Ovis aries: one gene and its partners. The protein of the gene in region 6 purifies or fractionates together with the protein of the main gene of each other region. This does not show direct contact. Links are inferred from orthologs where the notes say so. Each region holds a gene or a part of one and is shown on either strand. Other genes may lie near its edges. The genes, in order: VPS13A, RASSF3, ARHGEF12, VPS13C, ZFPL1, VAPA and OSBPL9.

Region 1 (4,542 bases), on a different chromosome or scaffold from region 6:
TACTGATATATGCTACAATATAAATGAACCTTGAAAATATAGTACTAAGTGAAAGAAGCCAGAAACAAGAGGCCATGTATATTATGATTCAATTTACATGAAACGTCCAGAATTGGCAACCAATAGAAGACAAAAAGTGTATTAGTGATTGCCAGAGAACATGGGGATAAATTTGTAGTGATTGTTAACAGGTATGAGATCTATTTTTGGAGTGTTGAAAATGTTCTGGAATTAGATGTAGTGACAGTTGCACAATTTTGATGCATGCCACACACGAATGCCTCTCAAATTTATTTCATTTAGTAAGTGAAAGGAATGAACTAAGAAATCAGGTCCACAAAGATACATACCACATAATTCCATTTATATGGCACTCTAGAAAAGGCAAAACTGTAGGGATGGAAAACAACCAATGGTTGCCAGGAGGAAGGGTAGGAGTTGGGTGGGAGACTACAAAGGGGCAGCAGAGGGAATTCTGAGATGTGGAAAACAGTGGCTGACTTTATTTTTCTGGGCTCCAAAATCACTGCAGATGGTGACTGCAGCCATGAAATTAAAAGATGCTTACTCCTTGGAAGGAAAGTTATGACCAACCTAGATAGCATATTCAAAAGCAGAGACATTACTTTGCCAACAAAGGTCTGTCTAGTCAAGGTTATGGTTTTTCCAGTCGTCATGTATGGATGTGAGAGCTGGACTGTGAATAAAACTGAGTGCCAAAGAACTGATGCTTTTAAACTGTGGTGTTGGAGAAGACTCTTGAGAGTTCCCTGGACTGCAAGGAGATCCAACCAGTCCATCCTAAAGGAGATCAGTCCTGGGTGTTCATTGGAAGGACTGATGCTGAAGCTGAAACTCCAATACTTTGGCCACCTGATGTGAAGAGCTGACTCATTGGAAAAGACCCTGATGTTGGGAAAGATTGAGGGCAGCAGAAGGGGATGACAGAGGATGAGATGGTTGGATGGCATCACCAACTCAATGGACATGAGTTTGGGTAAACCCCGAGAGTTGGTGAGGGACAGGGAGGCCTGGTGAGCTGTGGTCCACGGGGTTACAAAGAGTCTGACGCGACTGAGCGACTGAACTGATGTTTCTTCTGTATCAAGGTTGTGATGCTGGATACATGCTTCCTTGTATTTGTCAAACTGATAGAACTGTGCATCACAAGAGTGAATTTAGTGTATGAGTATTTCAAATTAACATATCCACTGATAAATCAAACTCTACACCAACCTCCACCTTGAAGTAGAAGCAATTTTCAACTATAGGTTAAAAGCAAAGCATATCACAAAATGTTCTCAAGGCTTCCTACTGAGGTGGGTGGAGACAAGTTTTATCATTACTATTTTACAAATGAAAAGCAGCACAGATTAAACTATCTGTAAATTTCTGGTACTAGTCCGAGATGCTGAGCTAGCATTTATATTCTTCATTCCTGCAGTCCCACTCTCTACCAAGGTAAAAGTGAAAGTGAAAGTGAAGTCGTGTCCAACTCTTTGCAACCCCATGAACAGTAGCCTGCACCAGGCTCCTCCATCCATGGGATTTTCTAGGCAAGAGTACTGGAGTGGCTTGCCATTTCCTTCTCCAGGTAATCTTTCTGACCCAGGGATCGAACCCAGGTCTCCCGTATTGTAGACAAATGCTTTACCATCTGAGCCACCAGGGAAGGTACTAGATATCAACAGTAGTTAACAAGAGGTTTTCTTTATCAAACTAAATTACTTATTTACACTATTAAGTAAAGGAGAAATATCACGATAAATAAGTACTTTAGAAGAAAGCTGTCAAGTGTGTGCATATTCAAAAAGACTAAAATTTTAAAATATATCTATATATTACTCACACAAGGAGATTAACCCTAGCTTTGGCCTGGGAAAGACATTTCACAAGAAAAAGAATCTAATTTCTAATGGGTGTTTAAAATAGATAAGCGTGTAATACAAAAACAGGCGGAAGCACAGCACTAAAATTGAAACGCCAAATAAAGAAATACACCAGAACGGATACAAAGTAAAGCATCAGTCCTTCACCATCCAACTTCACATCTCACTTAGCGTAAGGACAGCGCACCTAGCTTCTTTAAAATTTCAGTAATTCAATGTGACCCACAAAGCCCCAAACCCTTAACAGGCTTGATACACTGCTGGGTTCAGGTTGTAAATTGACAACACACCATCAATCTTTCGAGCGATCCTGCACAGGAGTTTTCGCTCTGTTATCAGCCGAACCCAGGCGAGCCTCCCGGACTCGAGGCGGTGAGGCCGGAAGGGGGAGCGGAGCAGCCAGCAGGGTTTGGCCGTACCCCGAGGCTGGGCGCGGAAGGAGGACGGCATCTCCGGTCACAGCTCCTTGCTTTCACGTGCGGGGCGGCGTGCGGCCCTCCGTGGGCTGCCCGGGCCTCCATCACAATCCAAGGGGCGAAAATGACAGGGACCAGACCAAGCCCAGGTGTGTCTCGAGGCCGCCCCTCGCCCAACACAGCTGAAACCAGACCGCGAAGGGCAGAAAAGGGCGGCTCGGTGGAATTTGAACTCCAGACCCTTGGAGTCCACTGTGGGCCCCTTGGGCCGAAAGGCGGCGGGGGGCGGGGGGGGTGGCCTTTTCATCCGGCATCAGAGACCCCAATCCCCGCCGGCCAAAACACTAACTCGCCGGTGGAGGCCCGGCAACTGCCTCCCGGCTCTACGTAACAGGACCCCAAACGAGTCGGCGGCAGGTGGCAGAGTGGGGCCCGAGGCCCCAGGAAGGCAGGGCCGGCTCTGTCAACGGAAGCACGGGAGGCGAGATGGCGGTCTCGTTACCTGCCCAGATGCCCAGACTGAGCTGGGACGTGTCCAGGTTCACCACATAGTCCCCCAAGAACCGGTTCAACACGTCCACGACCACCGACTCGAACACCATCTTCCTCAGCCGCGGTGGACGCGGCGCTTCTTCTTCCTGCGCCTGCCCTCTCGAGCCCCTCTCACGAGACTGCTCGGTTCACCGGCTCCTGGGCGGCTCCGACCGTGGTGCCACCAGCGCCGCACGCGTAGCCCCGCCACGAGCCCTATGAGGGGCGGAGGCGGTCGCTCGCGCTACGCATGTGCGGCTCGGGATCCAGAGTTGGGCGGAGCGCGAGGCCCGAGAAAAAGCTAAGGCGGCTGCGCGGCCGCCTCTCCAGCGTTTGCCCTAGTCGGGCGGAGCGCGGCTCCTTTTTCTCCTCGGCCCCGCCTCTTCCCCCATCGCCAGGCAACCGAACAGGTACCTGGAGTTACTGGACATTTCTGACCCCGCCCCCACCGGCAGCCTGGCCTCCCCACTGGTGCCGGGGGCGGGGGCGGGGGCGGGGGCGGGGCGGGGGCGGGGGCGGGGGACGGGACGCCAGGGGGCGCGGCGGTTACTCCGTGCCTGGAACGCCCCGCCCCTAACTGAGGAGACACGCCCCCACGTGGGCAGGGAGGTCCTAAATCTGGGTAAAGCGGCTGCAGATTAAAAGTGCCTTCCGCATTTGTTAGGCTGGAGGCTCTCAAGTGGAGTCCCGGGGAGCTACGCACTTATTATTACAAGTGGGGAGGTACAGGCGGAACCCGGGCAGTGCTGGCTTCCCAGGTCAGTCCAGCCTGAGTGTCTGGATGCCTGTAACTGCCCCGTTCAGTCCTACGAACGCTTGGAGAGGTTACACAGTCGATGACTTAACTTCCGTGGCTGCAAATCGAGAGAGGAAAGAAAAGTAAATTCTGGGTTGTAATTCCATGGTCCTTTCCCTTCATCTGAGATCGCACTCTCTTGGTCTGGTTATTTAGACGGAGCTGACTTTCGTCCCTTAGAGTCAACCAGTTTTGACTGACACTGCTGAGCGCCCTCCTACGAAGACCTGAAGACCTAAGACTCACAGCCCCTGAGCCTTCACAGAATGACCTTGAATAAATACATAAAAATTAGAGCTCTTTCAGAACCACTCCCACAGCCGTGTTTGGTTTTATACAGAAAGAGGGCCAAAGACCTGAGGTTGTGAAGGCCAAACACGCTGGATGTGAAGTCTGGAGAACTATAATTAATAACCCTCTAAGGATTTAAGAGATCATAAAGGTGGTCATCGGAGAAGGCAATGGCAACCCACTCCAGTACTCTTGTCTGGCAAATCCCATGGACGGAGGAGCCTGGTAGGCTGCAGTCCATGGGGTCGCTAAGGACTGAGTGACTTCACTTTCGCTTTTTACTTTCATGCATTGGAGAAGGAAAATGGCAGCCCATTCCAGTATTCTTGCCTGGAGAATCCCAGGGACGGTGGAGCCTGGTGGGCTGCTATCTATGGGGTCGCACAGAGTCGGATACGACTGAAGCAACTTAGCAGCAGCAGCAAAGGTGGTCATGTATGGATGTGAGACTTGGACAGTGAAGAAGGCTGAGCGCCGAAGAATTGATGCTTTTGAACTGTGGTGTTGGAGAAGACTCTTGAGAGTCCCTTGGACTACAAGGAGATCCAACCAATCCATTCTAAAGGAGATCAGCCCTGGGTGTTCTTTGGAAGGAATGATGCTAAAGCTGAAACTCCAG
Region 2 (3,828 bases), on a different chromosome or scaffold from region 6:
AGCAACTGAAAACTTAAGCACAAAGGCATTCTTCTTTGTGCTGGGTGGGGTGGTAGGGGCAAGGAGGAGGGAGAAAGTGAAAGTGAAAGTGAAGTTGCTTAGTCGTGTCCAACTCTTTACGACCCCATGGACTGTAGCCTACCAGACTCCTCAGTCCATGGGATTTTCCAGGCAAGAATACTGGAGTGGGTTGCCGTTTCCTTCTCCAGGGGATCTTTCCAACCCAGGGATCAAACCCGGGTCTCCCACATTGTAGGCAGATGCTTTACCATCTGAGCTACCGGGAAAGCCCAGGAAGAGGGAGGCTATCCCATAAATCCTCCATAAATACCCATCACATAATTCACATACAAATACCTCGGGGCTCGCAGACCGAGAGCTGTCCACCTGAAAAACACAGACAGCCAGGACGCATTCACCATTTATTTCAGAATATGTCCCTGGGCTCTGACATAACTGATACAGGTACATCCACCAGTCTTCCATGAATGAAGTCAAAAGACAGAAACAAAAGCAGGGATCATTTTCATTTCAAGCATGGTACCTTGATCTTCCCTGTGACACCGCTTATAAAGTGCAAACTTGGTAGGGCTCTCGGTCACAAGAAACTTCTTAAGCAGGGCCTCAATCACTTCGCCAACCGTGTTTGTGCTGCTGATGTGAAGGGTGTTCATACAGCCATTGCTACTGGGAGCGGGTTTTCCAGCAGCCTGGGAAGGTTTGCATAGTTCCATCTGTACTTTAATGAAGCCAGTGTAAATCCCATTTGAATTCTGAGGCAGGAAGAAGAACACACACATGAGCTGGGCATTTTAGGGAAGGAGCGTATCAAGACAACAACAGAAAAGGAAGGTGAAACACTCCCTCTCTTGTTCTCTTCTTTTATGGCTTTGCGGCAGAGGCTCACTCAAGGCGGCCCCTCAGGAGATGACCTCGGAAAGGTTAACACACTCCAGCGAAGTGCTTCTCAGGCAAGGTCTGCAGGGCAGATGTGGGGACCAAAGCCTGTGAAGCTGCATGTGAAAGGTCAGGGCCCACGGGTGAGCCTCCCATCCCCTGGCACAGATGCTGGCCAAACCACAGGGCTTGTTAAAGCTTGGGGCCATGTGCAGGCTAACTGCGCAAAGGAAACAACATCTCCAACTGATGACCAGCTATTACACAAAAAAGGAAAGTCACAATTAGGACTCTGAAATACTCAAATAACAAGAAGCAGACGGGAAGAAAACAAGCTATTTTCATTCCTAGTGGCTCCTATGTACCCGCTATTACCAACTTTGCATAAACTATTTTATATAGCGTAGGATTCCCCACTAAGCATGGGATACACAATGAGGCACTTCAGACACCTCAAGCAGCAATATTTTTACAACAAATTCAAGTTACAATGTAAACCACAGACATTATGATACAAACACTTGTGTTTCCTTTTGTTTTTTTGTTTGGCCAGGCCACCCAGCATCCAGGATCCTAATATCCTAACCAGGGCCTCCTGCAGTAGAAACGTGGAGTCCTAACCACTGGACCACAGGTGGTAGACTAACAGGTGGTGTCTTAACTGGCGGTAGAATATTTTAGTTGCTAGAAATAGTTATAATGGTCTGGTCTTCACTTTTAACTTCTAGTATATTCAGAAAAAAATGAATATTGTAATGGTTTATTTAAATGAGCCTTCAGGTTAAGTTATATATAAATGACAGTTAACACAGAACATGAAAAATCTCCTTTATGGGCCATTGTTTTTCTTCCTTTCCACAAGATCAATTTATAATACTAATTCACTCATTTGTGGAAAGTATTATACAACATTTCACTTTTTCTTTTTAATCTTTGAAATGACATGGAAATTTGATCTGTTTTAATCTCCAAGGAGGAGAGAATGTTCTGCTTTGATAAAAACCATGTTTGAAAAAGTAAGACTGGTGGAATAAAGAGGAATAATCTTGAAATTATCTGCTGTCTCCCTTTTTGGGCGGAATCCCACCAGACAGGAATCCTTTCTCACAAGTGTTTTTTTAAAAGCTCCTCCCCAAGGATCACAGAATTCAGTCGGACCTGTTCTAACCAGGTCGCCCTATCCTTTGCAGAGCTCTATCAGTTCAGGGTCGCTAGACGGCCAGGCAGGGCTTCAGGGCCCTGGACACTGGCACCGAGGCATGGCAGGTCCCTCGAGGAAGGCCATCAAGTAGCAGGGCAAGGCCAGACCAGCCAGAGGAACCCGCAGCGGGCTCTGCAATGGTCTTCCCTTCCTGTGTCACCAAGCCTGGTCTTCTCTCTCCTACACCCTCGCTCCCCACTGAGCTTCAAACAGCTCCGGCACAAAGTTGCAGAAAACACAAAGTTGAAACAACAGTGTAGGAAGCTGAGTATTATTAATACACTCAATGCTAAGAACCCTCTGGAGGTCATAACATCTTTCAAAATAAAATTTTAGGATGTGTTGACTGATTTTTGAAATAAAGCAATTTCAAAATACAGCTTTCATTTGAAAGATGCAGAAATATCTGGTTTTCCAGTCCTATATACCTTAATCTTTAAATTTCTGCAAGCGTGATTCAGACATTTTAAAACATACAGACTGTGGTACCAACAACTTATAATTGTCCTTTGACACTTTCAAGCTAAACAGTATTATTAGCACGGGTGCTCACCAAGGTCATCTTCAACTTGTCTGTGACTGCTAAGTTGTATTTATGAACTTTCTCTTTGATTTCCTCTTTGCTGAGGTAATTGTGGGTTTCCTTCTCTTTCTCCACATCCTAGAAGAAAAATAAGCCAAACCATCCATGAGCAATCACAGGAAAAAATGCAGAAGCCAGGATTCTTTTCACATGCCACATAACGATAACTATGAGCACTTTACCTTCTCACACACACACACACACACGCACACACACGCGCGTGCACACACACACGCACACAAACACACATCCTATGAACTTTACAATTTTTATAGCTTTACAGTCTTTATCAGCAAAAGGTATGGTAGTTAGTAAGTGTTAAACTGGCACTAATCACTGACCTGTCAAACACAACTGCCAGAAGGTAATTTAATCTTCCATAGGAAGACACAAGTAGCCAGACTTCCTGGACCCACCCACTCTCAACCCCCACCCCTCCAGTCTCTCCCCCCACACTCTGGAGGGGAGGATTTTAGTGAAGTCCTCTCTTGACTGTGAAAATTTCACTAACTGTTTTGTCTACAGAGCTCAACCAGTGTATGATGTCATGTGACAGCTGATGTCAATCACCGATGGCCACACTCCAGAGTACTGGGGCCCCTGAAACCAGGCATGCCAGGCACCTGACTTAAACGGCATTTGCTTCTCCCAACAACCTAACCAAGCAGGCATTTTAACTTCTGTTTCTAGACGAGATCAAGTTCTAAGACATAAACTAATCTACCAATAAAAACTGCTCTGTAGAAGTGTTGGCACTTACCTGAAAACCTGATCCCAAAGCCTACCCACCCTCAGTAACTCCAAGTACTTCCACCCGGGGTCCTCATTTAATCTTCGTCAGCATCCCCATGTTACAAAAACACTGAGGCTAACAGAGGTCAAGTGGCTTGCCAGGGACAACCCAACTGGTTAAGAGACCAAGCTCGATTCTAATCCAGGTCCTCATGCTGTTTCCACTAAACTGAACAGGCCCCCACCATTCCTGTGTGGGAGTTTGCAAACTTAAAGAAAGGGTGTATAATCAGATTCAAGCCTGGGAAATAAATTCAGAAAAGAGAAGGGTCCTAATAACCTTCAAGATAGAAGATCTGATGATTTAATAACCCCCTAAATAAAAACTTTAAAAAGTACCTCTTTTCCAGCCAGA
Region 3 (3,828 bases), on a different chromosome or scaffold from region 6:
CAAAACTCTATTAGCCTTTGCCCTGCTTCATTCCATACTCCAAGGTCAAATTTGCCTGTTACTCCAAGTGTTTCTTGACTTCCTACTTTTGCATTCCAGTCCCCTATAATGAAAAGGACATCTTTTTTGGGTGTTAGTTCTAAAAGGTCTTGTAGATCTTCATAGAACCATTCAACTTCAGCTTCTTCAGCATTACTGGTTGGGGCGTAGACTTGGATTACCGTGATATTGAATGGTTTGCCTTGGAAACGAACAGAGATCATTCTGTTGTTTTTGAGATTGCATCCAGGTACTGCATTTCGGACTCTTTTGTTGACTATGATGGCTACTCCATTTCTTCTAAGGGATTCCTGCCCACAGTAGTAGATATAATGGTCATCTGAGTTAAATTCACCCACTCCAGTCCGTTTTAGTTCGCTGATTCCTAGAATGTTGATGTTCACTCTTGCCATCTCCTGTTTGACCGCTTCCAATTTGCCTTGATTCATGGACCTGACATTCCAGGTTCCTGTTGCTCTTTACAGCATCGGACCTTGCTTCTATCACCAGTCACATCCACAGCGGGGTATTGTTTTTTCTTTGGCTCCATCCCTTCATTCTTTCTGGAGTTATTTCTCCACTGATCTCCAGTAGCATATTGGGCACCTACCGACCTGGGGAGTTCCCTTTTCAGTACCTTCTCAGTGAGACCTTCCCTGACCAGTTTACTTAAACTTTCATCCCCCTTGCTTTCTGTCACCTTTCCTGTGTTATTTTTGTCCACAGAATTTATTTATTTTTTTAATTTTATCCATCTGTATTCCTGCTCTTCTGCCCTGAATGTAAGCTCCATTAGGGCAGATGTCTTTTGTTCTGTTTGTTCACTGCTGTTTCCCCAAAACTGAATAGATCCTGACAGAGTGGTCACTGAGATAGTTGCTGAGTGGATTAGTTAGGGTTCTGATTATAATGCCATTGTTTAAAATATTACACATTATATTTATTAAGATGATTTTCTTCAATGAAGAAATGACAGTATACTGAAGTTTATGTAAACTTGACATTTCTTAAGAGCATTCCATGCTAAGGCACAGAATGTGCCTTTAGATCAGGTGATTTCTTATATTTTGCTGCTCGTGGTCTATATAAGCTTATTAACATCAAAGTGTAAGAACCCTGCTAGATTAATTTCCTAATTATTCTTTTATGCTGCCAAGGGGAGATGATCAGTCTCCAATCCTCAGCTCAGGCTGAGGGCCCTTTGACCAGATTCCTGCGTCCAGGACCGGGGGACTAGAAAAACAGGGAAGGATAGGAAGCGTTAAGGAGAGGAAAGGGAGAGGGAAGGGGAGAGAGGTCAATAAAGTCTCTTGTTCCTTACCAGTTGGGGCACTGTGGCCAGTTGTCCTCGTCAGGAGGAGACCAGGGACAAAAGGGTCCCAGTTGTGGCCGCTGGGTCTGGTCCACTGGCAGGCAAGCTGGCCCCTGAGTACCCCGAGTGGTCAGGATGTCAGTCTCAGCCAAGAAGAGTCCCATCTGGGTCGCCATTTGTTGCAGGAAGGAGGACCTCTTCCAGGGCCCGAAACTGGGCTCTTGTCTAACACTTGGAAATGAATTGTCTGAGGAGACACGTGTGCTGACAAAGCAAGAGATTTTATTGGGAAAGGGTACCCGGGTGGAGAGCAGTAGGATAAGGGAACCCAGGAGAACAGCTCTGCCACGTGGCTCTTTTATGCCACAGGTGATATTATTTCATATAAATACCCACATACAGAAATGAACATATATATACTTTCTTATATTTGTGCTAGAAGTATTTCTGGAAAGTTGGCTTGAGCTACTTTATGGCAACCTCAGATAAAGAGAAAGCTTTGAAATCCATTTTAACTGCTCTTCAAATAAATTTTAGAGCTCTCAATTTTTAGCAGTAACTTATTTTCAGATGTAAAACTTCAGATCTTACATTAATTTTTTTTTAAATTCCGGAAGGATATGACTTAAGTGGGTGTATAATACAGAGTAAATTTGAAGAAGATAATATACTTTCTCCAAATGCAAAATAATTTTTTCTGAGACATTTCCCAAATTAACAGGAGAAAATTATCTGGTAATGGGCTCACAGACTGCAGTTGTCATGTGAAAAAACATAGCTAAGAAGAAGTTAATTATGACATGGTCATCTTATTTCAGTAGTAAAAACTGCAGATGTAAGAACTAGAGATTTGAGACTCCAGAGCTTCAACGTTGATATCCAGCACTTTCTCGTTGGGAACATGACTTCTGATGAGGGTTCTTTAGCTATATATACCAATATGATTGGGAATATCATGGTCTTCAGTGTGAGTGTCTAAAATACAGTGAATAAAATTGTTATACATGAGTAAAGTTTTCATATGGTGATCTACATATAGTTTAGGTTTTTACCTATATTGATTCAAACAGTGTGTGACCGATTATCTTAACCAGTGATTCTCGAAAGCCCAAAGCAATATTCATTCATTCTAGAAAGCCAAAGCCAACAGGAATAAATAAGGCACAAAAGCATTCAGTCATCTAGTAAAACAGATTTTAGGTATTTCCTTTATAACATGATCCTTGGGGAGTGGGCTTCTTTTCAAGTTCAAACCATAGAATATTCCAAAGCTGGGAAATTTAGATGGGCGGTACTCCCAAAATGAGCTTATACATGAATATACTTATAGGTATTCAAGTTCTTTCTCTTTATTTTGTGTAAGTACTGATATGGATCCTGAAAGACCCTTAGTGCAATTTCACTTTTTGTTTGCATTTTTGTTTTAGCACCTGAAGGTTTCTGTTCCTGATGAAATATCAGTAGATCTAGGTAAGTCTGGAGCACCAATGTGCTAGAGGATTACATCTCTGTAGATAGGTAGCTCAGCTCTTCTCTAGAGGTTTTATCTGTTACACAGTAACTAGTAGGTCATATGAATCACAACAGTAAAAGAGCCTATAATACATTTAAGAGTAAATGAAATGTGAGTTCTAAGATTAAAATACTTAAAATATATTATCTCTTTATCTTACTTCAAGTTAAGTTCACACCAAGTAGTGCCAGTTACAATGCACAAAATGTGCCTTTAGATCAGGTGATTTCTTGTATTTATGCAGAAAAAAGACGACCAGAGCTTATTCCTGAGGATCTACATCGCCACTATATCCAAACTATGCAAGAAAGAGTCCACCCAGAAGTTCAGAGGCACTTGGAAGATTTTCGGTAAGCCTTGTGGTCGACAGAAGCTGATATGGTTGTCCTGAATTAATTTTCTTTTTAGGTAGGAACAGGTTATACATTCCTTGGCATAACATATGGTCTCTGTCATTGTTACTAAAACCTAATGAACTTCCGGCGTCGAAAGGTTGGCATGGTACTGAGAGTGCATGGTCCCCTTTCCTTATGGCTGGCAGGAATTGAGCGTAGTAGCTGTCTGTGCCAAGTGTGTCCTTCAAGATATGTGTTCTGTTGAGTGACTTCCTCTAGAATTTTCTTCCTCCAGTGTCCCAGGTGACGTGGGCCCCCACACAGAAAACCGTGACATTTTACCTGTTGCTAGAAATTCATAACTATGGAAACTCTGGTGAAGCATCTCCAGAGGGAGATAGTACCCTCTAGGTAACTCAGGAAATTACCCTCTAGGCTACCTCAGGAAATTTCTCCTATTCCCTTTAGGCAGAAGCGCAGCATGGGGCTGACCTTGGCTGAAAGCGAACTGACTAAACTTGATGTCGAGCGAGACAAGGACCGGTTAACTTTGGAGAAAGAACGGGCATGTGCAGAACAGATTGTCGCCAAAATTGAAGAAGTGTTGTAAGTAATAGAAATACATGTAG
Region 4 (3,828 bases), on a different chromosome or scaffold from region 6:
CTTTTTCCATGGAAAAGATAAGAAAGCCTTCTTCAGCGATCAATGCAAAGAAATCGAGGAAAACAACAGAATGGGAAAGACTAGAGACCTCTTCAAGAAAATTAGAGATACCAAGGGAACATTTCATGCAAAGATGGGCTCAATAAAGGACAGAAATGGTATGGACCTAACAGAAGCAGAAGATATTAAGAAGAGGTGGCAAGAATACACGGAAGAACTGTACAAAAAAGATCTTCACGACCCAGATAATCATGATGATGTGATCACTCATCTAGAGCCAGACATCCTGGAATGTGAAGTCAAGTGGGCCTTAGAAAGCGTCACTACGAACAAAGCTAGCGGAGGTGATGGAATTCCAGTTGAGCTCTTTCAAATCCTGAAAGATGATGCTGTGAAAGTGCTGCACTCAATATGCCAGCAAACGGGAAACTCAGCAGTGGCCACAGGACAGGAAAAGGTCAGTTTTCATTCCAATCCCAAAGAAAGCCAACACCAAAGAATGCTCAAACTACCGCAGAATTGTACATTTTAGGAGCCAGTTATATTAAAGGAAAATTATTACCTCTGAAGAAGCAATATAGTTCCATTTATTAGTTGGCAGTGAGCCATCAGATGCAATTTCACCAACTTCTAGTTCTAATGATGACTTGTTCTCAATGGTATAAAAGGGAGTCAAAGTAACTATTCGTGTAAGATTAAAACTGCTCATTTTGATGCTGACACCAACCTGTGGAAAGGAAACAAACAAGTTTATCATTTCCCAGTACTTTACACAGCTTGAAACACACACAGCTATTCACTCACAGTCTTCTTCAAGTATTTTAAAATAGGATTTCTTAAATAGAGTAACTAAAAAGAACCATATTCCATGACTATCTTCTCACTAAGAAGAAAAATTTCAGATCCTTAGTCTGGGACCAGCAGAAACCAATTCAAGAAATATCTATCAGTAATTTAACTAATGATGACTTATAATAACAAACTTAATATTTAAAAATCCTTTACTTTTTCACAGTCCAAAATAAATTGTTTTAAAATCAGTGTACCCTTTCCTTTGCTGCTTTATTCTCTCTGCTATCAATAAAATGAAATAAAAATTTCAATGAGGTAATAAAACAACTAGTATCAGATTATTTAAATTGTTGCAGTGAAATTTAAGATTTATGACGTTTTGGCAGGGAGTGGTATGGAATGTGGATTCTAGTAATTCTGTGTATTTACTAAATTCCTTCCTTAAATGTATTCAAATCACTGTCTTAAACTCTGACAAATTTAGGCTTTGCTTTGATACTAACTGTACTAGAAATAAATAGACAGACATAACGTAATAGTAGACATCCTCCATGTAATACTCTGAATTCACATTTCTATACCCCTGAGGATTTCCAGCTTATTTAGTGAAGAAAACGTGAATGAAATCAGAGGTAAATAAGCCAGCAAAAACCTTACCAGGTACTCCATGTTGTTGGCAGGACACTTCACACATCCATAACTTCCCACTGTATCCAATGAAAAACCACTGGACCACGAACTAGTTGAAATTTTTAATTGTACCTACACCAGAGAACACAGACAATCATATAAGAAATCTAAAACACTGTATTAATTTTATTTGATGGATAGGTGCTAGACCACTAGACATTTATTTAATAACATGAGACACAGAAAAGTATTATCAAAGGCATGCTGCAAGTGGGTAAAGAAGCACAGGAACTCTAGGGGACAATACAATAAAAGCAGAGCTCTAAACTTCCTTTGCATTCACCTCTGCGATGAGTATAATGAATTTAAAGCTGTATACCAATGAGAACTTCTGTTACTTAGGAAGGAATTAAAAAGTAAAGCGATATTTTGCAGTGTCAGGTTTTTGATATAGAGCTAATGAATTCTTAAAACTTTAGCACACACAGGGAATTTATGCTTTTATTATTCAGCAAACAACGAAAAGTGTTGTGATAAGGAGAACGGAAGACACAATACCTGTCCTCAGTAAGCTTCCAACTAAACAGAGACAGAAAATACACACTAATAATTATAAGGCAAGACTTAATGTGATAACAGCCACATAAGAGGGATAAAATCCTATCAAACTGACAGGATAAAAAGCTTACTTATGGCTATGGGAAAAGGTAAAGTTATACAGAAGAAATCTAATTCTGCTCCTCTATTAACCTCCATCTACCCAGCAGATGATAAAAACCTGAGTATAACCACAGGTCAGACACATAAACAGGTACAATATCAAGCATTAATCAACACTTTATGACAGAGGTTCTCAAAGTATGGTTCCAGGCCCTACTCAAGACTACTGAACTGCACTATGGGGGCCTGGCTCAGCAGTCTGTTTTCAAAGCCCTCTAGGTGACTCTGTTGCACATTGAGATTGAGATTGAAAAGCACTGCTCTAACAGAACATGCATGGGATATCTAGCTCTGCTTTAGAGGATCAGAAAATCTTTCACACATGTCAGGCTGGAGCAGAATGTCAAAGCATGAACAGTGATAACGGGAAAACAAGAAGCAGACAGGGAAAGCGTAGGGCAAAAGACATTCTAAGCAGGTGCAGCTACACAAAAGCCCAGAGGTGAGCAATATAAAGATGTGAGTTTGCAAAGGAAAGAAACAACCAGAGCAAAAAGGATCAGATCAGGCCTTAGGCTTTGTTTTTCTCTCGAAGGCCCGCCTTAATCCTTCATACATATGAGGCTCAGTTAAAATAAACCAAATTCAACGGCTCTCTCTTTTGAAACCCCATTGCATCACTGGTAACCTACATAAAGTCAAGCTTTCCACTTGACACTATGTCAAGAACAGAAGTAATTCTAGGGGCACTGGAGAAAAAGATACCCCAGCCTTGGGACACTATTGTTGTTAGTTCCTAATAGCCCACTTAATCATGTAGTCCTTAAAAGTAGTCTTGGATCTAATACATACCAATGACACTGAATAATTTGTTTTTATCAACAAAAACACACCTTATTTTTACTAAAAATGTTCTTCTTCTTGAAAGAGAATAAAACAATATCCCTAAAATCAGCTGGATGTTTCACATGCGTATCTTCTGCACGATACTGGAGAACCCGAGAAGTCTTGTTGATTAGCCAGTAGGGACTGAAAATGGAGAGCTCCATCTGGCTGCCAATTCGCTTGACATGTATTGACAGGTCAACTGTCAACGTTTCTGCGGAGTCAGAAGAAAAACACACAAGGAAGAATTCGGGAAGTGTACTGCATATACGGAAATGTCCATTCCAGTTTTTGCCCTGATATTTCACCAGAACTAATTCCATTATTTCTCCACTGATTCGTGAATGTAGAACATTGGCTGCACTGCCTTCGGTCAGCTCATGAGTTTCTGCTGTTCCCTAAAAACAAACAAAAACTAAATTTGCTTACCAATTTTAAAAAAAATCTCTGCAATAACTTCCCTATCTTATACAAATACTAAATTACCTACCAGATTCACATTAACTGAGAAGTCTTCAAGGTACCATCTTTACGTATTATGAATATCCAACAATTACTAAGGACTAAAAAGAAAACACTGTATCATAGCCAAAGGCAGAAGTTGTCATTCAGCCATCAGCAAGCCAATGGCTGTTAGTTTTGAGAAAAAGTCAGACCCATGTCAAGAATCTAAGGCTGGATGCAAGAACACTGGCTATTTCCATTAAGAGATATGTCATTACACGAGCCACATAACAGCCTGTGCTTCAGCTTCATCCTTTATTCACATTCTACACTTAATGGTTCTCATACAAATAAAAGAAGGAAAGTGATGTCAAACTATTCTGACAAGCTATCTAAGGTGCAACTACTTTATAAATG
Region 5 (4,384 bases), on a different chromosome or scaffold from region 6:
CAACTCCTCGTTCCTAGCATCCTGCCCCACCTGACTCTGTGTACCTGAGCAGCTGGGCCAGCCACCCCAGGGCTGGCCGGCGCCGGTACTTGTCGTCATCATAATCCCGGTGGAGGCCTGGTGCCCGCTCATCATCCCGTGTGTCATACACCTTCCTCGGGGCTGAGGCTGCAGGGGCAGAGCCACCAGCATCCATAGGTTCAGGAAACTGGCCCAGAGAGGGGTGGGGAGGGGGGGAGGACAGGAGACCCTAGCACTTTTCAGCCTGACAGAGCATATTGGGATCGTGGGGAGGTGACGTCTGATGGAACAGGAAGGGTTCTGTGGGTGGGTGGGTGGGTGGACTGCCGAGCTCCCTCCACATACCCGCCCCCCATTCTATCCCCATCTCGCCTGGACAATTCCCCAGCTCACCATGAGTCAGAGGCTCTGGATTGCCCATGTGGATCACCGTGTGCTGTTCAGGCCGGCTCGGGGAGGCAGGGGGCCGGGGGGCTTGGCTGTAGAAGGTTGGGGCAGCAGAAGCACTGGCTGTCTCTTCCTGTTCAGGGCTACCGCTGGCTATGGGCAGGAAGAGAGCGGTCAGCAGGGTGGGAAGGCAAGGACCCCATCAGCAGTGGAGGGTACCACTTACCATTAAAGCTGGACCAGTCAGAGAACTCGGATGTGTTGAGGGGTTCAGGCTCTGGGCTCACCAGCTCGTCAATCTGGAGGAAAGAACTAATGTCACCAGTCTGCCCAGTGCTGTCCCGACCCACCCCTCTGGCCCAGGTGGGACCCAGGGCAGAAAGATTCTCACCAGAGGAAGACCCAGTCCTGCCCGGGCCCAGTTGACCGTGGCCAGCTTCTCTCTCAGCGCAGAGGCCACGGGGCCAGCCAGGTTGGTTGGAGGGAAGATGGGGCCACTGCAGCTGGGGCACTGGTAGCCAGCAGGTGCTGTGTTTCGGGGGAGCTGGGCAGCACGCTCATTGAGACAGGCCCAGTGGAAGAGATCTTAGAGGCCACGAAGTAGTGGAGGAAAGACATGAAGAAGACACTTAGGACCCCTAGTCCACTAGCCCACTGCAGAGATATCTGCACACGTGTGTAAGCCCAGGGCCCCCTCCTTCCCAGGTAGATTATATCAGTGTACCTTAAGACTTTGGTCTTCCTGGCCACCACTGTCTAAGATAGGGCAGATGCTAACAGGCTGCCCAGCCCCTAGGGGGTCGGGGGAAGTGGGATGAATATGCCACCTACCCTCTCCGGGAGTCCTCTCTGCACCTGCACTCATCACAAACTCACTGGGCTAAGAGCTCAAAAGGTTACTAGACATATACACAGGCACCTGGATGCGTGTACACATCCATCGGCACAAATGTACACGTTTATATACACGTAGTCAAACACAAGTGCCATCCCCTATATCCACACTTATAGGCACACTTACTCTCACATACACTCAAGTATGCCAATACCCAAGCATTCACACCCAGGAATTCTGCAACCTCACAACATGCTCATATATTCATATACAACACTGACCCATTCACTCACCCACAGTAGCAATGAATACACTAACAGGTAAAGACACAACACACGTTTAACTCATGAACATATAAACACACACTCACAGTGAGAAACACATACGTTAAGCTCAAAAAGTGGAGCTAAGGCTCTTACAGCAGAGTCGGGTCAAGATCATGACACATGCCTCTGTTGACTTCTTTTAACTGACGTTACTGTGGGAAATTCAGTTCCTCTCTGTGTAATGTTGGAATTAGAAATAGATCCTGAACGTCTGAGAGCCCCCTGCTTTCAGCTCACTACAGGTACAGCCAGCTACTGCTCAGAGCCACAACCACACCTGAGAGATTGGCAGGCAGGAAGCTAGGAGCTTAGTTTTTAGGGAAAAACACTAAGGCCTAGGAAGGGAAAGTGGCTTGCCTGAGCTCACACAGCAGGTAAGTTACCTAGTGGGACCAGAATCTGAGTTCCAGCCTCCCAAGCTTGAAGGTCTCACTGTCCTGCTGCTTGGGGAGCCGCTGGAAACCAGTCACACTGGTCTTGTCCAGATCCCCACCCCCAAGGTGCCCAGGCCTCACCATAACAGATGAGGCGGGTTGTCTCCCGAGCAGCCAGGGGTATGTTACACAGGCGGCAATTGGGGTTGTAATCGCTATCTTGGAGCCACTGCAGGTAGGACTGGACGATGCACTGAAGTGGGAGAAGGGGGTCACAACTGGAGCCAGGGCTCCACAGCCCGTCTCCCCAAGGCCCAGGTGCCTCTTTTTCTGTCATCACAGAGGAGATTCATTCTTTCGTTTGACCAATCAATAAACATTCATTGAGCACATATGTGCCAGACTCTGTCTTAAGCACTGGGGATACAACAGTGAACAAAATAAACTAAGTCCCTGCCCTTGCGGAGCTCCCATTCTAGGGCCAGACCTTTCATTAATTTGGAGGAAAGTCGACGACCTGCCCACCTAGTGCCCTGCTCAGTCTCTAACATGAACACCCACCTTGGCGTGATTGGCTACCAGGCAGTGCTCGCAGACGTTGACCCGGTGTTCGAAGCAGAATAGGTTGGTCACCTTCCTCTTGGGGCACTTGCAAAGTCCCATAGTCGACCCTGAGGAAAGCGTCACAGTTGGCAGGAAGCCAGATTCTGCTGACCTCTACACATTTACCAGCCCAGTTTGTTTCCACTCTTAACTTCCCTAGACACCGCACGTATCCGCTCCAACCCCAAACTCCTGCCCACCGTCTCTCTATATTCTGGGCCACGGCCCCTGCATAAATCCCGCCTCCTGAGACCCCCGCATTCGTCCCTCATCCCATCCTTGGGCAGGCCCCTCCATCAGTCTCTCCAATACCACCGGCCCCGCCCCCAGAGGTCCCTCCTGAGCCCCACCCCCTCCATGCCCCGCCCCCACCTTCTCCACAGACCCCACTCTCTGTGTTACTAATCGGCTGCGGCACCGGTCCTCACGGGCGCGAGGGCCGGTCCGAAGAGCGGAAGGTCAGACCGCGTTCAGCCAAGCTCTCGCCCAGCTCTCTCCAGCTCACAACGCTCCGATTATCCCTCGGCTGCCACGTCTCTTCCGGGTGCGGCGCGCTCTGATGACGTCAGGGTGCCAGTGACCCCGCCCCTGTAGACGCTAGACATGGAGGAGGGTGGAAAAAGGAGTGAGCGGATCTCGCGGCCCTCCCCCTTACGTCACTTCCGCTTCCTCCCGCGCAAGGCGGGTAATTCGAACGTTTACCCTTCGGGTTGGCGCGCGCTCTGGTGGCGGCACCTGCAGCAGAGGGGATAGAGACCAAAGCTAGACATGTCCGAGAGACGAACCCGGTCCGGAGGGGCCGCCCAGTGCCCCGGTGAGCGGAGGGGGCGCGCGGGAGAGGTGGGGTTGAGCCGTTTGAGGGACGCAGTTCGGTGAGGAACCCCCCTCCCCCGCCCGCCGCCCTCCAAGGCTCCCTCGTCTCCTGGCCAGGAAGGCGCCCCCAAAGGGCCTGTTTGGGAACCTTCTCTCTCTTTCTTCAGAACCTGTTGTCTAGACTCAGGCCTAGAGCCCTCCCCTACCTCCTAAATTTTTCTGATTGCAGGACCCAGCGCCCCAACTCCCACTCGGTCTCTGCGGAGGTCCCAGCGGAAATCAGGCTCTGATCTCCCAAACACCCTCCCGGAAATCTTGCCTAAGGTGAGCCTCAGGTTCCTCCTGCCCTGGAAGCCTCTGGGCTAATATAGACCTCATGTTCACTCCTCTTCTCCAGGCGCCTCAGGAGGCTCCAATCAGAAAGCCCATCGTCTTGAAGAAGATCGTGGCCCATACTGTAGAGGTGAGGGCTGAGAGAGGGGTTGTAGGTGGAGAGCCAGGATCGGGAGTCGGCTGTGTGATCAACTCGTTGTCCCCACAGATCACATCCATTAACTCTCCTCGAAGAAGCCCCCGGGTAAGTTCATTTTCATTTTCTTAGTTAAGGGGAGTCCAGGACAGACACTCTACAGCTGGGGTGGGATATAATGGCTGCTCATGTCTTGTGGCTCGGCTGGTAAAGAATCTGCCTGCAATGCGGGAGACCTGGGTTCGATTCCTGGGTTGGGAAGATCCCCTGGCGAAGGGAAAGGCTACCCACTCCAGTATTCTGGCCTGGAGTCGCAAAGAGTTGGACACAAGTGAGCGACTTTCACTCACTCATTCATGTCTGCCCAGGGAGTTGTTTTTGCTGTATTTTGAAACAGTTTGCCTTTGGACACCTGCATATGTTGCCAGGCTTGCTTACTTCCTACACACTTGGTGCGTTTAATGCCTTGGTATTCTCTACCATTTTCCTTTTAAAGTTGAGTTGGATCTTACTACTTTTTCTCCTTTCTAGCCTCTTTTACTCAGTAACTTATAAT
Region 6 (4,443 bases):
CATTCTTGGAGAAACTATCTTAATCAAATGTAAAGTTAAAATAATTCAAATAAATCTACCAGAAGATGACATTTTGTAAAAAAATATCCTTTAACAGACTTCCACTTCAACTAAAAACTACAGATGATTTAAAGTAGAGTTTAAAGATTTTTTTCACACCATCATCAAATTAGTATGAAGAGAATTGCTGATTCCAAATGAGTCTCCTCACTTAATGCTGAACTGGTCTTTGGAATACAGAGAGGTTTCCATCAAGAACTTATTTACCTCTGACTAAAAGAATAACTTTTAAGGAAGGAAGGAATCAAATGGCACCAAATGTAGCCTCCCAATTCATCCTACCCTCTGCTTTCCCAATCCTTCCCATCCTCTACTCTTACAGAGGCACACAGCACACCGTGGGTGCCTAAGCACAAGCCAACCTTTTCTCACCTCAGGAAAGGAGCAAACCATTCCCATCACCTGCCCTCCCACTTCCCCATTTGAAAGCAAGCCAATAAAGATGTCGGATAAGACTCTTCAGAGTCCCTTGGACTTCAAGCAGATCAAACTGGTCAATCCTAAAGAAAATCAACCCTGAATAGCCATTGGAAGGACTGATGTTGATGCTGAAGCTCCAATACTTTGGCAACCTGATGCGAAGAGCCAACTCATTGGAAAAGATCCTGATGTTGGGAAAAACTCAAGGCAAAAAGAAGGGCGTGGCAGAGGATGAGATGGTTAAATAGCATCACCCAACAATGAGCAAATTCCGGGAGACAGTGCAGGAGGGTGGAGCCCAATGCGCTACAGTACAGCCCATGGGGGTCACAGAGCCATACAGGACTTTGCGACTGAGCAACTCCTCCGAAAACAAGTGGGGAGGAAGGAAGAAGGGGCTTCTTTCCTCATACTTGTTTTGCCTCTGTTACAGCATCTGAGTGCCTCTTCCGTCTGGGAGTTCAAGCACTAAGAAAAAAACATGTTTTACTCCTTAAACTACAAACTAACTGTGGGTCTTTTCTCCACCTTGCTTAGCACTGAATCCCCAAATATAAGCTGATGTTTGCTGAATAAATTATTCATTGTTGAATACTCTTCATCAAATATAGAGATGGTACAAAGCTTTCAATAGTGTTTGCTAAGTAAATGGCCCAGCTGACTATGTGTCCCTATAAACTTTTCCATGAAATCCTTTTTTAAAAAAGTCAACTAATGTCCAAACTTTAATAGGCCTTGTGAATTACTTTCATCCATAACACAAGAATCCGTTCTGTAATCATAGCTAGTAATTCTTCAATACCTAAAATAAGCATCTGGCAAGTCTCTGGGTCGGGGTTTTGGTTGTTCCTTTAACTTGCCTCTTTGCTATTATTAGCCTCTTACTACTGAAACGGTAAAGAATCCAAGGAAGATTTCGCCGGTAAAAAGTTCACCCGCAATTCAAGAGACTTAAGAAACGGAGATTCGATTCCGGGGTGGGGAAGATCCCCTGGAGAAGGAAATGACAACCCACGGCAGTATTCCTGCCTGGAGAATCCCATGGACAGACGAGCCTGGCGGGCTACAGTCCATGGAATCAGCAGAGACAGAGACGACTGAGCCAGGAAGCATGTCATTGAAACATACTGAAGTATGACTTCACACTGACTTCTCTAAGAAGAAACTGTCCGACTTATAAATACTTCTTGACCTAAAACTAGTTTTAACGGCGTCCAAGTCCCTAATGGCAACACACACGGATTAACAAGGAGAAAACTTCCTCTGTAAAATCAGCCTCCCCCAAAATAAGTACAAAACACTTAAATTCTCAGAAGACCTACCTACCATAAAGGTTTACATTAAATTCTTCCATTCTCAGGTAACAGCTAGAGTTAGGTATTACCTGAACTTTGGTATTCATGATTCCCCTAAGTCTTTTATTTCCCCCTTTCAGCGAAAACTTTGTAAACTCACGTTACGCCCATAAACTTGCTACAATAAAATGCACTTAGGAAGCCTCTCTAAGTATTTCGTGGAGTCGTCTAAAAAGCCGAATTCTCACCTAACACGCGGCTCACTGACATGTCCATTCAAAGAAACTCGCAAATGAACTGAAGACCTTGCAAAATACAGGGTTTATACAACACTACTCTCATAGCGGCAGAATACAACATCTTAAAGCTCCTAAAACTATTTAAAACCTGTCCTACGGAAACCAAGGTGTTTTCTTTCGCACTCCACTTCTTTCGGTTTGATTCTCTAAAGCACTGGAGCGGCCTCACAGTCCCAAGCCCCTGTGCTCGTGGGGCCCCGGGAATCAAGGACGAGTCACGGGCTCCGCAAGCTCCCCGCGCCCGCAGCATCCCCAGCAGAACTGCCCGAGTCGCTCCCGCGGCCCCCGGGTCCCGGCGCAGGTGACGCCCCGCGCAGGTGTCGCCCGCCGCCTCCGGCCCACTGACGCAAAGCCCGGCCCGCGCCCGCGCCAGACCGACGACCGCCCAGCCTGCCCCGAGTCCCCGGCCAGCCGCCCACGCCCGGACCCCGCCCCGGCCCGCGGGCCAAGGACGAGGCCGCCGCCGCAGCGAGGCGCCCGCGGGCCGCAAGATGGCGGCGGGAGGGGCGCGCGCGCCCGCGCGGGCGGGGCCGGGTCGGGCGCGGGCGGCGGGGGAGGGGGCCCACCGGGCGCGGTCGCCACCCCAAGCCCGCCGCTCCCGCAGGCCGCCCCGGCCCACCTTTGAATTTGAGGTCTGTGGGCGGGTCGAGGACCAGGATCTGCTCGTGCTTCGCCATGGTCCCGGAGGCGGACGCCATCGGAGACAGCGCAGAGCGGGGGCGCGCCCGCGGCGGGTCGCTGGCTGAGGGCGGGGGGCGGCGGCGGCGCGGGTCGGCCCGGCTCGACGCAGGGCCAGCGCTCGGCTCCCGAACCCGACACCCGCCGCTCTGTCGGCGACTAGCTGGGCCGCTCGCCGGTCCGCAGCCCCGGGTCTCACAACTGACTCAACCCCACACCAGCCGCCGCGGCCACGCGCACTGCGATCTTCGGCGCCCCACGTGACGCCTCTGCGTGCCTACGTGCGCGCCCCGGCGGCCGCGATTTCTCGCGCCTGGCCCGCCCTCCACGCCGCCAGGCGCGACCGGCTGCTGCGCCTGCGCGTCCCTGGCCCGCCGCGCTCTGAGCCTAGCCCAGCTGTCAAGGGAGCGGGCGTGGACGGGGCGGAGCTCAGCTCCCTGGGACTGACGCGGCGCGCACCGCAGAGCGGGAGGGCGCAATCCTCGGTCACGTTTAGCTGCAGTTACGAGACTAGACTGGAAAACCCGCTATGGTAGCCCATCGCCATCTGCCAAGCGGGAATGGCAAATAGCAGAAGTAGGAGCGAACCGGATCGTGGACTACAACTCCCAGCATGCTACGGGCGGGGCGGGGTCTCCAGCCGGACCGGTCCTCCTGCGGCTCTGCGTGGTGCTTGCTGGGAATTGTAGTAGCGGCTGAGCGCGGGCGGGAAGAAGGGTCGGTTGGAGGCTGGGGTGACGCGTGCCAACACTCATTTTGGTTCCCAAAGGATGTCTCATATGCCCTGAAAAAAGAAAAACAACTTTTGGAGACTGCCCCGAGGTTCCTCGGTTAGAAGTATAGAAGCTTCCCAGAGGAAAACATGCCAGGATCTGTTAGTATGCTCCCTCCCTAATTCTATCCATCCCTCCGTCGGTACAGCTGTGGTTCTCCAGTCCAAGCGCTCCTGCTTCCCGAATTCTCTTCTGGGATGCAAAAGCCCTTGAAGAAACACACCTCCTCTGTCGAGGACGCGTCGTTGGGGACCTGATGAGGCAAGCGTTATCAAACTGGAAATAATAGTCAGAATCTACAGTGTTTGTTGCTCTGTCTCATCCTCAGTTTTGATTGATAACGATGAGCCCAAAGCAAAACAGTTGTCACGTTCACATGTTGGCAGAGAATTCCATCTGCAGCATTTAAGATAGCCTGTAGTAAACTGAGCTGAAGGAGGAAAAAATGCCAACAGCAGAGTTGCTGACCAGTCCTTAACGGATCGCCAGGGTAGTCGGGGACAGGAACGTGAAACAAATGAGTGTGCTGTAAATCAACCGTCATGGTGCTGCTGGAATTCAAATCCCTGGGAAGCACCGCCAAACAACGCTCAAATGATGCTGCCGCGGTGGAGGAGGAGCCCAGTTGGTCTAGAAAACAAACCAGACAAATGGGACAGTGGCCTAGCCGTGGACACAGAGTCCACGTCCTCACTGCAGTCCAGGCATCGGAACTCACTTAGGAACAGCTCTCCGGAGTAGCTAACCTAGCATGCGCACCAGGCTGTAGGCTGTGCCCAAGGAGAGCAAGTATACCTTCAACAGGCTGCCAGAGCTTAATTTGTTTGAAATGCGTGCGTCCTCAGTCCTGTCGACTCCCTGCGACCCCATGGACTGTAGCCCGCCAAGACACTCTGTCCAGGGGATTCTCCAGGCAAG
Region 7 (3,082 bases), on a different chromosome or scaffold from region 6:
TGTGCAGTCCACAACCCGGCCTTGCGCCTACGCCTGGCCAATAGCAAGAGCACTGCTGCCACGACTCTATATAGTTCGTTGTCTCCTTACCAGCGGGATTCGTACTCATTCTGATCTTCCAGCTTCCTTACTTTCTTCTTAATTATAGGCAATTTCTTGGTATCTATAAAAACTACATTTTCCTAGAAAACAGAAAAGATAGGTAGATGTTTTATTGTTCACACTATTCTAAGAGAAAAAGTCAACTCTTCCCATTAACAGATTTAATACTGAAATCCCACAATATGTTAGTGATATAGACAATGAGTTCCATATGCAATCTAAAGCCTAAATTGTTTTAAGTCTTGGTAAAGGCTCTTGGTAAAAATAGATATTTTCAATGTGGCTCTGTGTTGGGATGTAATATGATTGGGATGTAATCTCTTGGACTAGCTAAACAACTAATCCTAATGTTAAGTACTCTGAGCACTTTTCCCCATATATTATTGAGTATTTTAAGGGGAGAGGAAAGTAAAAATCATTCTACTACCTGTACTGCTGGGGAAAGGTGGAAGAAGGAAAAGGCTTGGCTTGAAGAGATGGCATTAGAGCTCATCTTGGTGGTTAAAATTTCCAGATGAAGGAAGCCAGAGTAAGGGACAGGCTACGATTCAATGAAGCCTGAAACAAGTGGCAAAACACATGATGTTCTTACCCCTGTTGAGTATTTTGCATACATTACACCATTCCATTCCCCTTCAATTGAGCAGAAAGACTTCTTGTCATTTGGAGAACTACATTAAAAACAAAAAACAAACATTAAAACACATTTGTGTCAGTCTCAAATTGAAATTTCTCTACCAAAGAATCTTGTCAGTTGTGGCCTACCTACCCAGAGCAAACACAGAAGAGCAACTGTAAAGGTAGATTAATCAAACTGGTTTTCTCAGAGCCAACTACAAGAATTAATGCCATAAAGATGCTGCTAATGGATTCAAGATCCCAGAAACTGTGGGTATGAGGAGATATGTTAGGTGCTGGGACCACGGCAGACTACAAACTCAAGGTCTTCACAGTCTAGTGGGGAGACACTGCCACTGAAATTCTGGGTGGAAAGTGCTGTTATGTCCAGGCAACCACGCGAGATCAAGGGCAACACTGCTACGATGAGGGTCAAGGAGGGCTTTGCTTAAGGATACAATGATGGAGACAAGACTTTCATCTTCAGGCTGGGCCATAATATTAAGATGTTATCTGAGAAGCCCACCAAGCACTCTTTCAGAAGGCAGTCTATTATAAATTACTGTGATTGGCCAAAAAATCTGCTAGCAGTTCCTATTGGTGCTGGCTGCTTTAAGGAACTCTGGGAAGCAGGCCCACCCATGTCTTTGTTCTGGACATCCTTTTCCCCTGTCTGAGGGGAGCAGCCACATTATAGTGGTGACTTGTGCTGCTCCCTAAGCTCTGCCCCTATTTTCTGACTGCAGTAATATTTTGGATTTCACAGTGTTCCTTAGTAAACTTCATCTTTTGTTCATGGTTCCTTCCTCCTTCCTTCCTTCCAAGAATTTTCTGGATGTTGATTCCATCATCAAAATTAAATTATCTCCCTAAAAAACGGGTTAACCAATCCTGTGTCTGCCATCTGCAACACTGCTCCCAGTGAGGCCTCTGAGGACAGAGAAATCCCTGCAGGGTCTCCTTGTCTAGGCAGGCTCTGAACCCAACTGACTGCTGACTTGGACAACACAGACGTCTTCATCTAATCCTGGAGCGTCAAACAGAACCAAACAAAGATACAATGGTTACTGTTTTTCCCCAGCAAAGGCACACAAAAAAACAAGGACCATAAGGGCTTTGAGACACTATAGTGGGTGTCACAGGGTCTACTGTATGGACAAGCTCATGATCCAATCCAGCAATAATGAGTTAAGCATACATAATCTGGGTTGGCTACGAGATCCAGGAAGACTCCTTAAGTTCCTATTTGCAAGTCAGGTTCCTAGGAAGGAAATCCCACCAGTGACCTCAGATTGTTCTTAGGTCTCCTTCTGAGATGGGATTTTAGGAAGAGACATGAAACACAGCATGTAAAATAAGTTTACAAAGACAGGACCATTAGAATGGTCATTCTTGGTGGAAGTTATAGTTCACGACAAAAGGAAAACTATTTTAGAGATACAGAAGGAGCATCGAAGCAGAAAAACAAAATACCTACAAAATCTCAGCAGTAATTCTGTGCTTCTTGCCCCCATAGAAAGGTTTAGTGTGGAAGACGATATTTGCACTATAGCCAGTTTTGGAACAATTAATACTGCATTCTCCGCCTAGTTCCACCCAGGGCACTGTGAGGATAGACCTGCAAAATCAAAAGTTTCAGTAAGGCTGACAGTTCAGAGGAAAGAAAGGAGGGGCACAACTTAAAGAATAGCAGGGCCTACTGCTCACGCATCAGAGGAACGGAACTGCTCTACTTGCCTGCCATAACCATTGGGGAATGTGAGAATGTAATGTTCGTCATGCTCTAGACACGAGACACAGCCTGTGGAGAGAAGGGATGGAATCTCAGGTAAGCAACTGATGGAATCTCCATTCAGTTTAGGGATAATCACTCTTGCATCTCAACCTGGCTCTCACCCCCAACACACTTGCTTCCCTGTACACAATGACTTCCAGTCTGACTTTCTGGGGTCATTTCCTCTTACTAGACAGATGGCCAGCACATATAAGAATGACAAAGAGTTCTCCCATCAACACTGTAGTCCACCCAAAGCCCACAGACTTACCCTGCCCTATGTTGTGCACCCCAATTGACATCCCAAGGAATTTTGACTTGGTCCAGATATGAGCATTGAATTGTATCTTCTTATTAAAACACTCAGCATAAAAGGCTGAAACTGAAGAGAAATTGTTTTGTTTAGTGCACTATATAGCCTCATTTTATTTATAAACATACACACCATAAACATACATGCCCCCCACCCCCAACTCCCTTAACCCAGAGAAACAACTGGCTGCATAGGGAAAATCCTTTACCTTTCAAAGAACATCCTTGAATGTGGTCAGGAATTACCCACCTGCCCTTTACACCCTGTTTCCCCCA

The links.
Region 1: the proteins of VAPA (region 6) and VPS13A purify together in Homo sapiens (co-immunoprecipitation; 3 studies listed by BioGRID and IntAct, counting the BioPlex papers as one, with this or other methods). This does not show direct contact. The link is inferred for Ovis aries from reciprocal best matches to the Homo sapiens genes VAPA and VPS13A.
Region 2: the proteins of VAPA (region 6) and RASSF3 purify together in Homo sapiens (co-immunoprecipitation; 3 studies listed by BioGRID and IntAct, with this or other methods). This does not show direct contact. The link is inferred for Ovis aries from reciprocal best matches to the Homo sapiens genes VAPA and RASSF3.
Region 3: the proteins of VAPA (region 6) and ARHGEF12 purify together in Homo sapiens (affinity purification with mass spectrometry; 5 studies listed by BioGRID and IntAct, counting the BioPlex papers as one, with this or other methods). This does not show direct contact. The link is inferred for Ovis aries from reciprocal best matches to the Homo sapiens genes VAPA and ARHGEF12.
Region 4: the proteins of VAPA (region 6) and VPS13C purify together in Homo sapiens (co-immunoprecipitation; 3 studies listed by BioGRID and IntAct, counting the BioPlex papers as one, with this or other methods). This does not show direct contact. The link is inferred for Ovis aries from reciprocal best matches to the Homo sapiens genes VAPA and VPS13C.
Region 5: the proteins of VAPA (region 6) and ZFPL1 purify together in Homo sapiens (co-immunoprecipitation; 3 studies listed by BioGRID and IntAct, counting the BioPlex papers as one, with this or other methods). This does not show direct contact. The link is inferred for Ovis aries from reciprocal best matches to the Homo sapiens genes VAPA and ZFPL1.
Region 7: the proteins of VAPA (region 6) and OSBPL9 purify together in Homo sapiens (co-immunoprecipitation; 5 studies listed by BioGRID and IntAct, counting the BioPlex papers as one, with this or other methods). This does not show direct contact. The link is inferred for Ovis aries from reciprocal best matches to the Homo sapiens genes VAPA and OSBPL9.

Annotation. Positions count from the first base shown.
Region 1 is NC_056055.1:59,659,113-59,663,654, forward strand, and holds the start of VPS13A (intermembrane lipid transfer protein VPS13A), read right to left. Parts: upstream 3,057-4,542; 5' UTR 2,908-3,056; coding exon 2,808-2,907; intron 1-2,807. UniProt on the Homo sapiens protein: Mediates the transfer of lipids between membranes at organelle contact sites. Binds phospholipids. Required for the formation or stabilization of ER-mitochondria contact sites which enable transfer of lipids between the ER and mitochondria.
Region 2 is NC_056056.1:155,283,404-155,287,231, forward strand, and holds part of RASSF3 (ras association domain-containing protein 3), read right to left. Parts: intron 2,760-3,828; coding exon 2,652-2,759; intron 774-2,651; coding exon 545-773; intron 1-544.
Region 3 is NC_056068.1:30,761,184-30,765,011, forward strand, and holds part of ARHGEF12 (rho guanine nucleotide exchange factor 12), read left to right. Parts: intron 1-2,778; coding exon 2,779-2,821; intron 2,822-3,108; coding exon 3,109-3,214; intron 3,215-3,667; coding exon 3,668-3,805; intron 3,806-3,828. UniProt on the Homo sapiens protein: May play a role in the regulation of RhoA GTPase by guanine nucleotide-binding alpha-12 (GNA12) and alpha-13 (GNA13). Acts as guanine nucleotide exchange factor (GEF) for RhoA GTPase and may act as GTPase-activating protein (GAP) for GNA12 and GNA13.
Region 4 is NC_056060.1:46,363,180-46,367,007, reverse strand, and holds part of VPS13C (intermembrane lipid transfer protein VPS13C), read right to left. Parts: intron 3,366-3,828; coding exon 2,976-3,365; intron 1,555-2,975; coding exon 1,450-1,554; intron 728-1,449; coding exon 563-727; intron 1-562. UniProt on the Homo sapiens protein: Mediates the transfer of lipids between membranes at organelle contact sites. Necessary for proper mitochondrial function and maintenance of mitochondrial transmembrane potential.
Region 5 is NC_056074.1:39,745,969-39,750,352, reverse strand, and holds the start of ZFPL1 (zinc finger protein-like 1), read right to left. Parts: upstream 3,086-4,384; 5' UTR 3,033-3,085; exon of another isoform or gene 2,932-3,032; intron 2,869-2,931; exon of another isoform or gene 2,747-2,868; intron 2,615-2,746; 5' UTR 2,607-2,614; coding exon 2,505-2,606; intron 2,197-2,504; coding exon 2,085-2,196; intron 994-2,084; coding exon 800-993; intron 708-799; coding exon 635-707; intron 562-634; coding exon 415-561; intron 169-414; coding exon 45-168; intron 1-44. Other genes in the region: sororin, read left to right, coding at 3,315-3,360, 3,589-3,683, 3,757-3,936. UniProt on the Homo sapiens protein: Required for cis-Golgi integrity and efficient ER to Golgi transport. Involved in the maintenance of the integrity of the cis-Golgi, possibly via its interaction with GOLGA2/GM130.
Region 6 is NC_056076.1:42,407,488-42,411,930, reverse strand, and holds the start of VAPA (vesicle-associated membrane protein-associated protein A), read right to left. Parts: upstream 3,024-4,443; 5' UTR 2,773-3,023; coding exon 2,694-2,772; intron 1-2,693. UniProt on the Homo sapiens protein: Endoplasmic reticulum (ER)-anchored protein that mediates the formation of contact sites between the ER and endosomes via interaction with FFAT motif-containing proteins such as STARD3 or WDR44.
Region 7 is NC_056054.1:26,203,502-26,206,583, reverse strand, and holds part of OSBPL9 (oxysterol-binding protein-related protein 9), read right to left. Parts: intron 2,877-3,082; coding exon 2,766-2,876; intron 2,522-2,765; coding exon 2,458-2,521; intron 2,339-2,457; coding exon 2,198-2,338; intron 774-2,197; coding exon 695-773; intron 183-694; coding exon 91-182; intron 1-90. UniProt on the Homo sapiens protein: Interacts with OSBPL11 to function as lipid transfer proteins.